2 linked regions of the Oreochromis niloticus genome follow. The protein of the gene in region 2 purifies or fractionates together with the protein of the main gene of each other region. This does not show direct contact. Links are inferred from orthologs where the notes say so. Each region holds a gene or a part of one and is shown on either strand. Other genes may lie near its edges.

Region 1 (7,965 bases), on a different chromosome or scaffold from region 2:
TAAACAGGCTGCTGACATTTTACAAAGCATGTTTCTACATGGTTAACTAAACATTTCCACTTTTTCTCTGTCCATAACTGAGTGAACAATAAAGTTTGATGCAGTCAAACATGGCACCGGTCCTCTTCTTCAGTGTCGTGAAACCTGTCCTGTCTCCATGGTGACTGTTGCTCTGGAGGTTCGGATTTCTGGGGGCGCTGTGAGGAGTCCCGGCTGCTGAAGTCTGGTTTCTAGCAGCAGCAGAAGCAGCAGCTGTGGGAAGTGCAGGGTAAGAGGGGCGGGGCTTCAGCCGAGCTCGCCTCCAGGTGAACCTCACAGATCCAGACTCTACATCGAAGGTCCTCAGGCAAACTTCTTCTTTGTGGCCGTGAAACGCTCCATGTACTGAGGAGGAAAAGCAGAGTGTCATCAGGGACCGCAGGAGGACTCGCAGTCTTGGACTCGATCTGGTCTCAGACCGCAGCACTGACCTTATCGTATCCCTCCAGGTCCCGGAGTCTCTTCACCTCAAACAGGTTTCCCTCCACCGAGAACAGGGACACCTGGGACTCGGTCAGGATGGACTGAGGGATGGAGGAGAGCTCCAGGCAGTTCTCCTCCAGGCGGAGGACCTTCAGACGGGGACAGCGGGAGACCTCCGCCGACACCACCGAGATCTGGACCAAGAACAGAGGACCGGGTTAGTACAGAGGAACACCACCAGACCTGGGCTGGGATTATCAGAACCTCCTGGGAAGTCTGAGGGATAGAAAGCTGCAGTAGATGTCATGGAGTGACCGATCAGTGATTATTGATAACCGATTGATTAAGCACCTTGGGGCGACTGTTGTAGTGATTTGGTGCTATATAAATAAAACTGATCTTTAATACTGGGTGAATTAACAGCACAGGGTCAGCCCTTTCAGGTTTTCCTCCTGGTTCTGGTTCTTTGGTGGACTGACAGACCTGGTTCTGCAGTACCTGGTTCTGGTTGAGGTTGATCTCGATGGCCTGCAGCTCGGACACCTCTTCAGGGACGTTCTGGATCTTGTTTCGGGACAGGTCCAGCAAGTCCAGCTGCCTCAACGTTCCGAGTCCGGAGGGGAACTCTGAAATCTGGTTCCCGGCCAGGCTGAGGGTCCGCAGGGCTTTGAGCTGGCCCAGTGTGGGGGGCAGCTGCTGGATCCGGTTTCCATTCAGACTCAGGGTCTCCAGCTTCTTCAGCTTCCCAATCTCAGAGGGAATCCCGACTAAAAACAGAACCACAACACAACAGGGTCTCACAGGTCTGAGGGTCGGGGAGGCTCCGGTTTGTTCTGCAGCTAAACCGGATCTAAAGACACACACAGTCCGGGGATTTTTAAATCATTCCAACCCTAAATTAAACTAAAAAAAAGCATCCAAAGAGAACAAATCAAATGCTGAAACAAGAATGTGGTTGCTTTTTGTTTGGCTTTAAAACACAGATGTAAAGGCATAACTGCTCCGGGTCGAACACTCACCGAGCCGGTTAGAGTTCAGCGTCAGACTCTTGAGCTGAGGGAAGTTTCCGATGGTGGTAGGAAGGACCTCTATCTTGTTCCCGGACAGATCCACCGTCCTCAGGTTGGCCGTGAGCCTCTGCAGCTCCTCTGGAAACTGAAAGCAGACCGTGACCAGGACAGGCAACTCAGGACAGGCGACTCGGGACGCCCTCGGTTTTGTATAGGTTAAGCTTGCTATGATCAGGCCCTGGGGTGTCACACTCTAATGGTGGCAAGTGTGCGCCTACATGCTGCAGCTCGGAGCTCTCCAGTTCTGTGGGTTTTTTTTTTTTTTTTCATTTTGTGTTTTTTGCTTTGTGATTTAGACAAAAACAAATGAGGATGTGCCAGATCGCTCACCCACAAGATGGACGAAATCGAACCGCAGCTGGCCACCAACAGACTTGTCTGAAACTGCTGTGCAACGGAAACACGGCTCCCGATGCTACTGGACTGGACTCTCCATCATCAGGACCACATAAAGAGTCAGGAAAGAACCGAGCGGAGGACTCTGCATCGTCACACATAACAACTGGTGCACACACAGCTGAGTCCTCGACAGCTTCAGTTCCCCGGACTTATCCTCTGTCAAGTCGGCTGCAGAGCTTTTACAGCAGTGCACATAGCTCCTGTTGCTAAGGTCAGCATGGCTCTAAGCCAGCTGCACAGTACCAACAGATGCAGATACATCCGGATCGGGCCGTCATCACTGCTGGTGATTTTAACAACTGCTTAAAGACAGTTCCTGACTTCTCACAGTAGGTGGAAAGTGCCACCAAAGGGAAAAACACAGCAGGCCATCTTCTCTGTACATCAATGGAGACTGTGTGGACAGGATCCAGGATTCCTGACTCCCAGGAACCCACACAGGAGCATCTCCTGGACTGCCCACACCAACACCACTGTGAAGAAAGCTCAGCGGGCCCGCACTTCCTGAGGAGAAACAGGCTACAGACAAAACTCGAATCCTTCTACCACTCCACCATAGAAGGGCTGCTGTCATATTGTATCACAAGCTCCTCACAAAAATAGACTCCAACGCATCATAAAGACAGCACAAAAAAGTTACAGGGCCCAGCTCCCACCCCTTCAGCGAATCGCAGATAAACACCATCTGGTCAGGTGTATAAAAGGCGATCACCTGCTTTATCACCTGATTTATTCATTGCTTACATGTGTGAACACGTGTCTCTGTGTGTTTGTTCTCCATCCCAGTGATGCCACTCCAGTTTCATGCAATGACAGTAAAGGCTCCGAACTGAAAGGAGAACTGTCCAATCATAGGGTGCCCGGACTGAAACGTCTGACGCGTCAAACATGTGTTTAAATCTTTCTGTGTATGTGTGTAAGTTAACTCTGGAGTTTTGCTCCTCTCACCTCCTGCAGACCTTTCCCCGTCAGCTGAAACACTCCCGTCTTCTGGGAGGTTTCAAGGTGAGACTTCAGCGCACTGTTCCCCATCTGCACCTGTAGCCAGGTACCAGCCCTCCACTTGCAGGGCCACCCGAAGTCCTTCCAGACAGGCTGATGGATCAGCTGACAGCCGTATCAGCGCTCCTCCTCCTCCTCGTCAGCAGGTGTTGATGAGATCAGATAGTGAATCCCTGCAGGTGAGCAGTCCTCTCTCACAGACCTGTGAACATGTTTGTGTTTATTAGTGAGATTGGAACAGAGGCGGCGTACAGCTGTTTCACTCTGACTGAAGAACAAAGTGAATATTCAGAGAAAAGCTCTGCATGGGCTGCTGGTGAGCTCACAGACGTGCTTTGTCTCCATGTCCCGCAGCATCGTGCCAACGTAAGGCTCCGAGTTTGGGTTGAAATCCCTGATTGTTTTCTCTAAGCGACCCGTCCTGAGCCGAGGGAAACGGTATCAATATCCACCTGTGCTGGGCGGCGTAGGATTTAAACTTTTTCTCATGTTGATGCACAGATGAGCAGATCAAACACCCCCAGTGGATTAAAGGTGTTTAATAACAAAGAAGACCTGTAATAACTCATTCACATTAATAATCCTCAGCTAACTAACATACAAACCATTAGCATCGTTAATAACTGCACTTCACCAAGCACCACACTGACTCTGACAGGCAAGTCTCCCTAAATTTACAACATTAATCTTATAAATTTGCCACTAGGGGCGATCGTGGCTCAATGGTTGGCAGTTCGTCTTGTAATCAGAAGGTTGGGCAAGACACTTCACCCGTTGCCTACTGGTGGTGGTCATAGGGCCCGGTGGCGCCAGTGTCCGGCAGCCTCGCCTCTGTCAGTGTGCCCCAGGGTGGCTGTGGCTACAATGTAGCTTGCCATCACCTGTGTGTGAATGTGTGTGTGAATGGGTGGATGACTAAATGTAGTATAAAGCGCTTTGGGGTCCATAGGGACTAAGTAAAGAGCTATACAAATACAGGCTATTTACTATTTTAACTTTATCCCAAATTGACCATCAGTGGTCCTAACCCAGCTTTGTTACTCATGAGTGTGCATCAGCCAAAGAGGGAACAAACCGGACTTACCATTGGCTTTCTACAGCACACCCCAGTAATGTGTAAAATGCATTAGTGTTGAAGCCTGAGCTCAGTAAACACACCTGTGGAAAACCCTCCTCCTCTGTAGTGTTGAACACACCTGCAGTTCTCCACAGTCACCACAGGGGCCGCCAAATCCCCCAAACTGAGGCGTTCCAGATCAATGCTGTGGCAACAGAGAGCGGTTTCAGCTTTAAGGTGGACTTTAAAAGGTATTTAAGGTGGTCAGTTTCTTGCAGCGGGGCAGCCTGAGGCACTAGCTGACATGCACGCACGCGCTCACACGCACACACACCTGTCTCTCTGCAGCAGGCAAAAGCTCACCCTTCAGCTGTCACAGGTGGTAAAGGTGAGTCACGTGTTTACCTGAGAGGTGACACACTCACCGTCAGCAGCCTAATCGGTCCCAGTCTCTCCTCACTGTAAACACACTGTAAACACACTGTAAACATTAAGGCCACCGCCACCCTGCTAACAGCTGAGATAACCGGAAACGGCTCTGTTTACATACCGACACAATGTCGCCCTTTAACCCCCGTGTGCAAGTGTCGCGTGTCCAGGTGCTGTGCTTAATTTTATCCGATAAAAGGACAAAAAAAATTAAGATCAGTAGAAAAGTGAAGCTCGGCAGCCGCCCTGATTCTGCGCTCCTGCTTCTGCTGCTTCTTCTTCTTCTTCTTCTTCTCTGCTGAAAATCCCGCTCAGGGCTGCAACGCTGCCACCTGCTGACAGATGTCACTCAAACCCTGAACGACATTCTTCTTGTCATGTGACCTCAGCAGGCTGTGAGGTCAGATTTGGATCCAGGATTAGGCAGAAAGAGACGTTTTTTGTTTGTACACAAACAGAAACGCGATTATTTTCTGTAACTATGTGTTGTAGTTCTCTCTGGATCCTGAGGGGTCGCTGTTGCGGTCAGCAGCCGCCAAACGTTTTCGCAGAAGAAGAGAAACAGCAAAAACAAACCGGCGGGCGGGCTCCGGTGAGGTTCAGTTTGGTCGTCTTAGAGCGGAGGTTCTTTGGTTTTAACGGTAAGAAAAAGCTGGAAACTGACACTAGACTGTTTGTGTTTAACGGGACCGCCAGAGGCAGCTTAACGGTGCCGGTGTGTCCGTCAAAAAAGCCTTTAAAGCTGCTTCAAAGTCCGTTTAAAATTGTGGAGATTTAGTTTGATGGCGCTTGCCTTCACACGCAGAGCTGTGAGGTGGATCCCAGCAGGGTTCTGGTTCGGATAGATCCGGTTTTAGGTTTGAACACCTGGTCCAGGTGAATATCAGAGTCTGAGGCTGGTCTGGTTCAGGTGACGTTCCTGTCTTTCAGATGCATCAGTGGGATTTGTCTCCGTTCTCCGTGACTCCAGCTGCCAGCCTGCTTTCTAAGTGTGTCTCCGTGGGAGCGCTGTCTCAGGTAAGGACACGAACAGGTGTTTAGGAGGCTGAGGCGGTCTGTCAGAGCAGCTTTACACGGTTCAGAGATGTCTGAGGACAGGTTCAGATCTGAGTGAGAGCTGACCTGTGTGATCCGGTTCTGATCCAGACTAAAGCTTGTGAGTAAAATCTGAATCTGCTTCTGTCTCACCTGTCCTCAGGAGGAAATAGACTCCGCCTCCAGTGCTACAGGCCCCGTCTTTTCCTCTCATCTGCGGAAGGCTGAAGAGCAAATCAGAATGCAGAAGCAGTTGGATGAGGTATGTGCGTGCAGCTGTCTCGGGGATGGCGTGCTGGGATGTTATGTCAGAGTGCAGAGCCCCACCTGCTTCGATGCCTGAGCCGGATGTCGGCCAGATTGGATTTTGAAATTTTCTCATGAGAAACGTTGTTTTGCTCTCCTGCCTGCAGCTCAGAGTGGATGATGTCATTCTGGAGCGATGACATCATTCACTCTAAGCTGACTGCAGGCTGTTGCGCTGTGTCACCGTGAGAGACGGCCTCCGATGTGGGGCTGTTGGTGATCATGAGCACAGTCGTCATGTTTTTAAAGGCAGACTCAGAACCTCCACAGAGCAGCTTCATGGATCCTGGTGGCTCCGATTGGCTGCTCACAGCGCCTTCACTTTCTTGTTTTTCTTTTCTAGTCGTGGTTAGTTAATTAAACTTTGGATTGTGTGTCCTCTCCTTTGTTCAGAAAATGCTCATATTTACACTCTAATTACTAACTAGTCCTCTAACCCGCTGTAAGTCTCTCCTATTGGCTTCGTAACTAATCCTACATTTCTGCAGCTTTCAGACTAATCCACAGGGTAATGAAACCAGTAGGTAGTTTTGTATCTTGTAACTAGTCCTGTGGGTCACAGCGGGTCTATGCTAGTGTCTCCACAGCAGCAGTATCGCAGCGCTTTATTAATAAAGCCCTGTTTTGTACGTTGGCGTGCTGGGTGCGTCATTTATGAACACATGATCGTCTCGCCAAATGCTTCCCATCACAGAAACTCGGATCTGAGCACTGACTCCTTCAGGGCGTCAACTGCAGGCGGTGACAGGTGTGCGCTCGCTGTGGGTCCGGTCAGGTGAATGAGACGCTGTTGTGTGAATGAAACACCTTACCTGCAGGAGCTGTGTTAAACAACAGTGACTGCACTGGGGCTAGAAGTCATGTGACTGTGTCAGCTAACGTAAAGGTATTTGTTTCCTGTTGATGCAGATGCGGCTGCGGCTGGAGCTGCTGCAGGTTGACGAGCAAAGCGCCGATGTCGCCCACAGCTTCCACCTCGGTGAGTCCAGGTGATGTCATTGTCATCGGGTCGATGTTTTTAAACCAGCCTTCACTCCAGATCTTATTCTGAAGGGACTTTAAAGACTTCCTGTCAGAACGGAGGATGGCAGAGCCACGCCCCCTCTGATCAGGTGCTTTTGTGTCCTGCAGCTCGAAGGTTCCAGATGCTGCAGATGCTCGGGGATCACATGCAGGAGCTGCTGAGAGAGCAGAACAGTCTGAGGCAGCGACTCATGAGACCGCTGGCTCACACCAACCTGCCCGTGCACGCTCACCTGCACAGGTAATGCCTGATACTCTCAGCGTGATTGGAGTGGCCCATGGCGCACTGTAACGGTCTGTGGTGTGTTTCAGGTTCGTGGTGGAGTCCCTGAACCTGATGATGGACTTCATTGAGACTCTGGAGGAGAAGCTAAGCTCCGCCCACAGCAGGACCACAGCCAGAGACCGTCTCACTCTGCTGGTCAGTCACACGACCTCACTGGTTTGGGGATGGCAGTAGGCCACGCCCCTATGCAGACAAACTAAAGCCGTGTGCCACCGTTCATTTTAGACACCTGAGAGAATCTGTGTGTACCAGACTCCATTCACGAAAACAGGAAGTTTACCTGAGAGAACAGGTGAGCTTGTGTCACCCTGAGGTCTGAACTCATTAGTTTGGATCATCACAGTCAAACGCAAACGTTTGTTTTCTGTGAGCTAAAAACCGATGTTTTATGAATGGAGTCTGGTGGGTTTGTCATCAGCAGTGTGGGGTATTGTGCAGAAACAGGTCAGAAACGGGAGGCGGGGCTTGACTGAAACAACGCTTTGTGTGATTCAGCATCAAGCTTTATTGATAAAAACAAATTAGTATTGTTAACTGGGTTTGTCTCTTGGCTCCGCCCTTGGCCACCTCCCTGTTCATGGTCATTTCCTATCAGTCCCTCACACACTAAATAGCGTCCTCCGATTGACTGCAGAGTTCATCCCAGTTCAACTGTTACCTCTCCCACTCTCTCAGGACTCCTCGCACGCCCAGCTGCTGATGCAGGCCTCAGAGATGGAGACTTTGTCCAGTCAGATTCTTCAGTGGAAGTCAGTTGATGGATGCAGCCTGGTGACCTCTGACCCTTAACCTTCATCATGTGTTGCACTTTGAATTTATTCTAATAAATGTTTGCAATAAAATCTTTCACATTTTCCATATGCAGCTTCTGATTGGTTATTCAACACAGAAACAAG
Region 2 (7,152 bases):
CGACTGTATGGATTTGCTTTGCTCACTGATGATGAGTGTGCGGTTTGTGGTCTTAGCTGTTGGTGTGGAACCACTCGTCGCTCAGTCCCGTGCAGACGTACACCGATCACCTGGCTGCAGTTAAAGCCATCGCCTGGTCCCCCCATCAGCACGGCCTGCTTGCCTCGGGCGGCGGCACCGCCGACCGCTGCATTCGATTTTGGAATACCCTGACATCGCAGCCGCTGCAGTGTATGGACACCGGCTCTCAGGTCTGCAACCTGGCCTGGTCCAAACATGCTAATGAGCTGGTAAGAGACCCCACATCCACAGTGGATTTGCTGTCCGTGGATTTATTACCATTTGTAATTGTAAAGACACTGATTAAAATTGTAGGTCAGCAGCGATACGTTAAGAGCTCTTTTTGAAGTTGATTGAATACATGTATACATGTACAGAGCTGTTCTGATTGGCCAGCTCCAGGGGCTTCTGCATGGATCGACCTCAGCTCTATGATCATGAGTGAGAGAGATTAAAACTCAAAACTCTGTTTCGTTGCATGCAGAATTAGCGTAAACCTACGAGTGCAGAATGAATCCCGTTTTGTGTGTTTTATTGAAAATGACAAACTTCAGAATTAAGAATAGCTGTAAAATTACTGATTTGTTGTTGCTGGGCCCAAGACTGGCAAGTAGGTGAGTCTTACTGTCATATAAGGTAACTGTCATGTTTGATTTAATGTGAACTTTAAATACACAAATAAAGAGATTAATCATTTTGTATTAGTGATGAGCAGGATGACAGATTCTGTCAGGCAGGAGTCTCATACCTTATTCTTCATCAGTCATACTCTTTATAAAGGACGTGATTTATATCTTTAGTGATTTTTTTATTTATTTATTTTTCCCCCCCCTACCCCACTCGATCACTGACTCTTCAGATATCTTCTGGGGGGAAGATGGATGGAGCATGCTAATCATCTTTCCAGCCCTCTTAATGACATTTTGAATTTGTGATCCGAGTTTGACACAAAGGTTCTCCGTTATGGAGAATGGGTTCAACAGTTACCCCATAAAACGGTAACATAATGGTTTGGACATGTGCAGAGGGAAGGATAGTGGAAGACTACAGAGAAGGTTCGTGGATGCAGTGAAGGAGGAAATGCAGAGGGTTGGTGCGACAGAGGAGGATGCTGGGGATAGGCTGAGATGGAGGCAGATGATCTGCTGTGGCGACCCCGAGAGAAAGAAGAGGTTTTCAAAGATTAATCTCTCTGTTAGTTCAGCTATATCGCCTTTACATACTGTGATGGCCAAACCCATGACTGCATTATAAAAGTCGGTAACTCTTATGTATTCTTTATTTCTTTATTCAAAATAACACACTTTAGTTTGCAGTAAGTTTATTGTTTGGTTTGGATACATTTGTTTGTAAGCGCACACATTTAGTTTACTTATGTATTTATACCAATTCACTCTGATTCTTGGTTTGATTTTTGTATAATCTTTGTCTGGCCACTCCCAGAGATCGTGGCAGGTAAGAAACAGGTAAAGGAAACAAAAGCAGTGAAATGCATAGAGGGGATGATTGGACCGCACCACCACTTCCTGCTGAAGGGGGAGAATGTGTGTTTTCTGTAATTAAATGTTTGAGTTTAGGGTTTAGTTGTTTTGATTTTCTTCTTTGGTGTTTAGTTTATTAACAAACTAGACTGTGCTGCATCGTCTTTGTGGTTTATGACTGTGTTTTGTTTACTTACTCCTGTTGTGTCATAGTGATCTGATCAGCTGTTATGTGTGTCATTTCCTGTTTAGGTCAGTTATGTTTGTTTGGTTTGTTGAGGTCACAGTTCACCGTTTCTTTGAACTCTTTCATGAGCTCAACATTTACTGTTTGTAAATAGAATTTTTTGGGTTAAATAAATGAAAACCCATTTTCTGATCATTCCTGTGACTCCTGCTTTTTCAGCTCGGTCCATCACACATACACAAACGAGTTCACTGTTAAAAGCAACAAAAAGCAAACAAATGCTTTTCTTTTTCAGGTAAGCACCCACGGATACTCTCAGAATCAAATCTTGGTGTGGAAATATCCAGCTCTCACTCAGGTGGCCAAGCTTACAGGACACTCCTACCGAGTGCTCTACCTGGTCAGTCTGGTTTGTTTGTTTTTTTCTCCATTGATAATATAAATAAGAACATTATTAAGATAAAATTCTAATGACTTGTTGTACTCTTTAGGCCATGTCTCCAGACGGTGAGGCGATTGTGACGGGAGCTGGAGACGAGACGTTACGCTTCTGGAACGTTTTCAATAAAACGCGCTCGACAAAGGTGAGAACGCATTAACAACAACCCCCCCCGCCCATTTTAATACCTGCTGAAAACATTAACCAAGTTTCTTCATTTTTTTGTTTCAGGAATCTGTATCAGTTTTAAATCTCTTTAAGAAGATACGGTGACTTCAAGCACCTTTTTAAAAAGAAATAAAATCCTGCCATCATCGGCGGATAGCTCATCCGCCTGGTGCTAAAGACATACAGTACAATCAGAGGCTTATTGTGAGTGTTCTTTTCACAAAGGGAATGACGGCAACACCTAGCTTTATTTTTTTAAATTGTGTGAAAAATTCTTTTGCACCTGCTGTGAATGTATTATTTTTATTATATGCTTAAAAAATGTAAAAGTGGGTGTTTTTTGTTTTATTTAAACTTTTGTCAGTATACAAAACTAGAAATCACAAGCCTTAAGAATATTGATATCATCTGAAATGTGTTTTGTTTACCTCATCTTTAATTTATTTAACATACTTATTATACAACAGACATTCAGAGACTTATTTTTACACCATTTCTCATAGGATGGAAGTTTGGAGTGATTTAATGACATGTTATACTATGAGTAAATTAAAAAAAAACAAACAAACAAAAAAAACCAAGCACCATGATTATTGTGACCTTTGGACTGTGGTTGAGAGGAGGTGACTGAATACAAAAAAGTCTAATGCTGTGCATTTAGACGTCTGCTGAATTGCTGATTATTTGCAGTAAAACAAATAAAAGAGCCACTTTCTGACTTTGTGTATATTTATTTATTTCACAACTTGTACAGCATGGATGGAAAACCCGCTAATGCATTCAGAATTGTTATAATTTCTTTGCGGCATAAATTGAACAAGCTACTGGAAACATTCCTCAGAGATTCTGGTAAACTTGTTGCAGTGTTTAAGAAAAAACAGTTTTAGATCATTCGAGTTTTGTGATGTGGCACGTTATCCTCCCCAGAAGCAACCATCAGAAGATGAGTACACTGTGGTCATAAGGGAATATGGTCAGCAGCAGAACTCAGGTAGGCTGTCGCATTTAAGTGATGCTCAGCTGATACTTCTGGATCCGGTGTGCCGAGATGATATTCCTCACACCATCACACCATCATCAACCAGCCTGAACCACTCGCGCAGGGCAGGGTGATGCCATGCTTTCATGTTGTTTGCATCAAACTGGCTTTACCGTGTGAATGTGAAAGCAAAAATTAAGCCTGATCAGACCGGACAAAGTTTTACCAAGCTTTTGTTGTTCACGTTTGATGAGCCAGTATGAATTAAAGCCTCAATTTCTTGTTCCTGGCTGATGGGCACATAGTATGGTCTTCTGCTGCTGTAGCTCATCTGCATTCAAAGGTGCTCTTCTGCATCCCTTGGGTGAAACGAGTTGTATTCCCTTGACCTCTAACATCAACACGGCAAATTCAAAGTCACTTAAATCGCCTTTCATCTCCATTCTGATGCTTGGTTTGAACTTCAGCAGGTTGTCATGAGCATGTATATATGCCAAATATCCCTGATTAGATGCCATGTGATTAGCACATTAGATTCTTGGGTTAAACAGTGCAATAAATAACATGACAAACAACATCTTTTAAATCATCTCCACATTTAAAAATAAAAAAATGAATATTGGCTTCTGGATCATTACATGATTTTCATCATGTGAGATATTTGTGTAAAATCAAAGCTAAGGCACAGTCTGTGCTGATGACAGCAAATGGCTGTAGTTGTGATTGCTCTCCAAGCCAGCAGGTGGCGGTACTTCTCCTTTTCCTCTTCCTCTGTGGTCGTTAATCGGAAATGCTGTTGACAGGCGGGAACTTGAAAGTTTGAGTAGGTTTAGGTTAAAAAATATTCCCGTGTGAGCACCGTAACCTGTTTTTATTGAATTAAAGAGGCATCTTTCGTGGGAGCACGGTAAGTTGGAGGGACATCTGTGAATTACGTGCACTCATTAAGCTAACTACGCTGGCTGATGATAATAGTCTCCTGTTGTTGTTTCTCGCTTTAGCTGTAGCTCGTTACCAGCTGTTATTTGTCAGGATGGCAGACAGAAATCTTGTTCAGGACTTGAAACGCTGGGCGACAGAGGAGTTTGGGCTGTCCCCGGACAGACTGCCTAATGACAGCTATTTTAAAACGTAGGTATCTACACTTATGTTACCTGTCATCAATGTTATTACCTAACTTTTTAGCCTTGAACTAATGTTGATTGTTTTCCAGACTCTGTGTTGGGACGGGGAAGTCGATATGGAAATATGTCATCCAGCATGTTTTCCAGCAAAGGTGAGACTTTGTTCTCGCTTGCTTTTTGTTTTTGTTTTTAAACCTTTTGATCACTAAATTATAACTAGAACACGGCTCATTTCCTGTCCTCAAACATTTACTCAGGACTCTGGTTCATTACAAAAGAAAAAACATTTGCATGAATGGCCTGTTTTCTAAAATAAACTGCAATCTCTGACTGATTTCTGTCTTTTTAGGAATGTGAGGATCATGCGTGGCAATCTTCAGTGGTATCCTTTTTGGTCTTGACTTGATCTGCAAAGCTTCCAGCTTCTTTCCAACAGACTTTCTTTGTTTTGTTTTCTTTGCCTTTCTTTGTTATTTATTTGCTCTGTTATCCTTGACATTGTTATTAGGTATAAATCGCTTCAAGACAAAGAGGTAGGCTGCAACTTATTTCTTTTCCCCAGCAGTTGTAATTTAGTTTAATTGTTAGTGATTGCACTTCACAAAGGGGAGTTTCTGTAAAAGCTATGTTTGTGTTTACTGGTGTGCGGTCTTGTCAGGCTGAGGGCCAGAGTGAGGCTGCAAAGCGTAAAGATCTCCAGAAGAAGATAGAGCAGCTGAAAGAAGAGATTAGTCACCTGGACTCTCAGATGAGCGTTACAGAGGAGCAGATGGCCACACAAGGTTAGTCCAACATATGTACTGTGGGCTGGACTTCCAGCCATCCCTCCATAATTTTCCTCCAGTCAGGGTTGTGAGGGGACTGGAGCCTATCCTGCTGAGTGACACGCAGTGCACATTAGACACTAACACAAAGACCGTGCATGTCTTTGGACTTGGCAGGACTCATTTGGGAATAACTGTGTTAACACAGTTTTGTTTTAAAACACCTATGAATTTGATGTGTTGTCACTACTTTGATTAGAGGCAAACATGTCTGATGTTGTGTATATGGTTTCTTTAAAAATGTACTGAGTTGCACCTTGTGATTGTTTTCTTATATAAAGATAAAATAATTAAAGTTAAAATGAGAGAAGTTCTGAAAAAATATCTTTTTCACACATTTCACATGGTGACAAGTTCAGCTCAAATATATTAGTTATACCACAAAGGGCTGAAAAGGTTTTTGTCTACTATTTTGCCATTTGCGTTTAATAGCTGCATTTTCTGCTGTGATTACACAGACAACTCTATCAGTCGAACCTGGGCCCAGGTGGAAGACGGCCAACGCAGAGAGCTGCTGCTTCAGGCTTTCAGGCAGCGCTGCATCTCAAGCCGCAAATATCTTTCTGATGATGTGCAACAGATCAGTGTGCACTGCCAGGCTCTGGAACAGATGGCCAGGTAAGGCAGAACATTTACTAATACATTTTAAGTGAAAAAGAGACGCAATACCTTTTACACATTTTTCTTTTTGTGTGTGTGTTTATTGCAGAAAAGCAGAAATTGAAGTGCTGTTTGATAAATCTTCTTGCAACAGAGACAATGACAACCTCAATGTCAAAGTGGCAACAGAGGCACAAGTTCTGGTAAAACATGCCCGAATCTGTGTTTTACTTAAGTTTAAAATTTAGAATGTTTATCAGACAGAAATAGCAAATACAGCCGCTTTGGAGGCTCTGTGTATAGCCGCTCTGTGTGTTTTCTATCCATCAGACAGACATTCAGACTTGGGGCCAATTTATAGTTACCAGTTAACCCAACATTACTTCACCTAACCTTACCTAATGTATGCTGGGAGAAATTTTAACATTCGCACAAATCTGGAATTAGTTGCTTACCGAGGCAACTGTAGCATATCAGCTGCTGACTTCATGAAATCATTCATTACCTTTGTTTTCTTTCTTTAGCGTGATGTGAGAGAGCTGTGTGACGACAGGGTCCACTTCTATCAGTCTTTACAAGAGTGTGAATCGAAAACACAGCACTCTGCAGCCACACAGTAAGGACCACAGACTGTACTCGATTTAAGTTATTCAGCTTTTAAAATGTATTTATTTTTGTGTTTGTTTGTTTTCCCTGTAGTATGACCCGTGAGCAGAGGACTGCTGTATTCCAGTACTGGCTGAGTGCTGTTGAGGTTGGTGTGTTTGTGTCTGATTTTACAAAATATTTTTGTATTTGTGTTAACATTGTCTTTAATTTTGACTTTGCATTAATATGCTGTTGCTTGTTGTGTCACCAGAACATGTTGGGTGCTTACCCTCCAAACCATGTTCTATCAGCGCTGCTGTATTTGGCTTCAAGAGAGCAGAAGGTATTGGAGGAGAAACTGTCGTCTCTGGACGTGACACGGGATGTAACAGCTCTGCAGTAAGGCAGTGATTGGGATCTTTCATTTCACGTCATGCTTCAAGATTTCCGATTTTCAGTGTAATGCATTTTTAAAATTTATTTGTTTTTTGGCATGCAGGTTCCGCTATGAAAGCGACCACCTTCTGGATATGTCAGCAGAAGAGGAAAATGAGTTACCACCAGTTAAAACCCTCTTAGAGGTGCGGTCACATTGCAGTATACCAACAGAAACGCAGATGAAACCATGTTCACACCCCCTGTTAACAGTTTACATATCAGGACATAATAAAAATAATCTGGTCCCTACCTGGTCTTAAAATG

Evidence for each region. Proteins that work in one complex are often made in the same cells at the same time.
Region 1: the proteins of haus5 (region 2) and haus2 purify together in Homo sapiens (affinity purification with mass spectrometry; 5 studies listed by BioGRID and IntAct, with this or other methods). This does not show direct contact. The link is inferred for Oreochromis niloticus from reciprocal best matches to the Homo sapiens genes HAUS5 and HAUS2.

The regions. Positions count from the first base shown.
Region 1 is NC_031983.2:29,704,880-29,712,844, forward strand, and holds haus2 (HAUS augmin-like complex subunit 2), read left to right. Parts: upstream 1-4,911; 5' UTR 4,912-5,060; intron 5,061-5,349; coding exon 5,350-5,436; intron 5,437-5,617; coding exon 5,618-5,716; intron 5,717-6,669; coding exon 6,670-6,739; intron 6,740-6,891; coding exon 6,892-7,024; intron 7,025-7,095; coding exon 7,096-7,204; intron 7,205-7,744; coding exon 7,745-7,858; 3' UTR 7,859-7,929; downstream 7,930-7,965. Other genes in the region: lrrc57 (leucine-rich repeat-containing protein 57), read right to left, coding at 343-384, 471-656, 961-1,229, 1,482-1,617, 2,880-2,963.
Region 2 is NC_031986.2:44,252,293-44,259,444, reverse strand, and holds the start of haus5 (HAUS augmin-like complex subunit 5), read left to right. Parts: upstream 1-4,060; 5' UTR 4,061-4,221; intron 4,222-4,315; 5' UTR 4,316-4,347; coding exon 4,348-4,445; intron 4,446-4,527; coding exon 4,528-4,590; intron 4,591-4,787; coding exon 4,788-4,820; intron 4,821-4,946; coding exon 4,947-4,971; intron 4,972-5,096; coding exon 5,097-5,220; intron 5,221-5,720; coding exon 5,721-5,880; intron 5,881-5,971; coding exon 5,972-6,065; intron 6,066-6,386; coding exon 6,387-6,478; intron 6,479-6,561; coding exon 6,562-6,616; intron 6,617-6,721; coding exon 6,722-6,849; intron 6,850-6,949; coding exon 6,950-7,031; intron 7,032-7,152. Other genes in the region: fizzy-related protein homolog, read left to right, coding at 57-290, 2,024-2,128, 2,220-2,312, 2,399-2,440.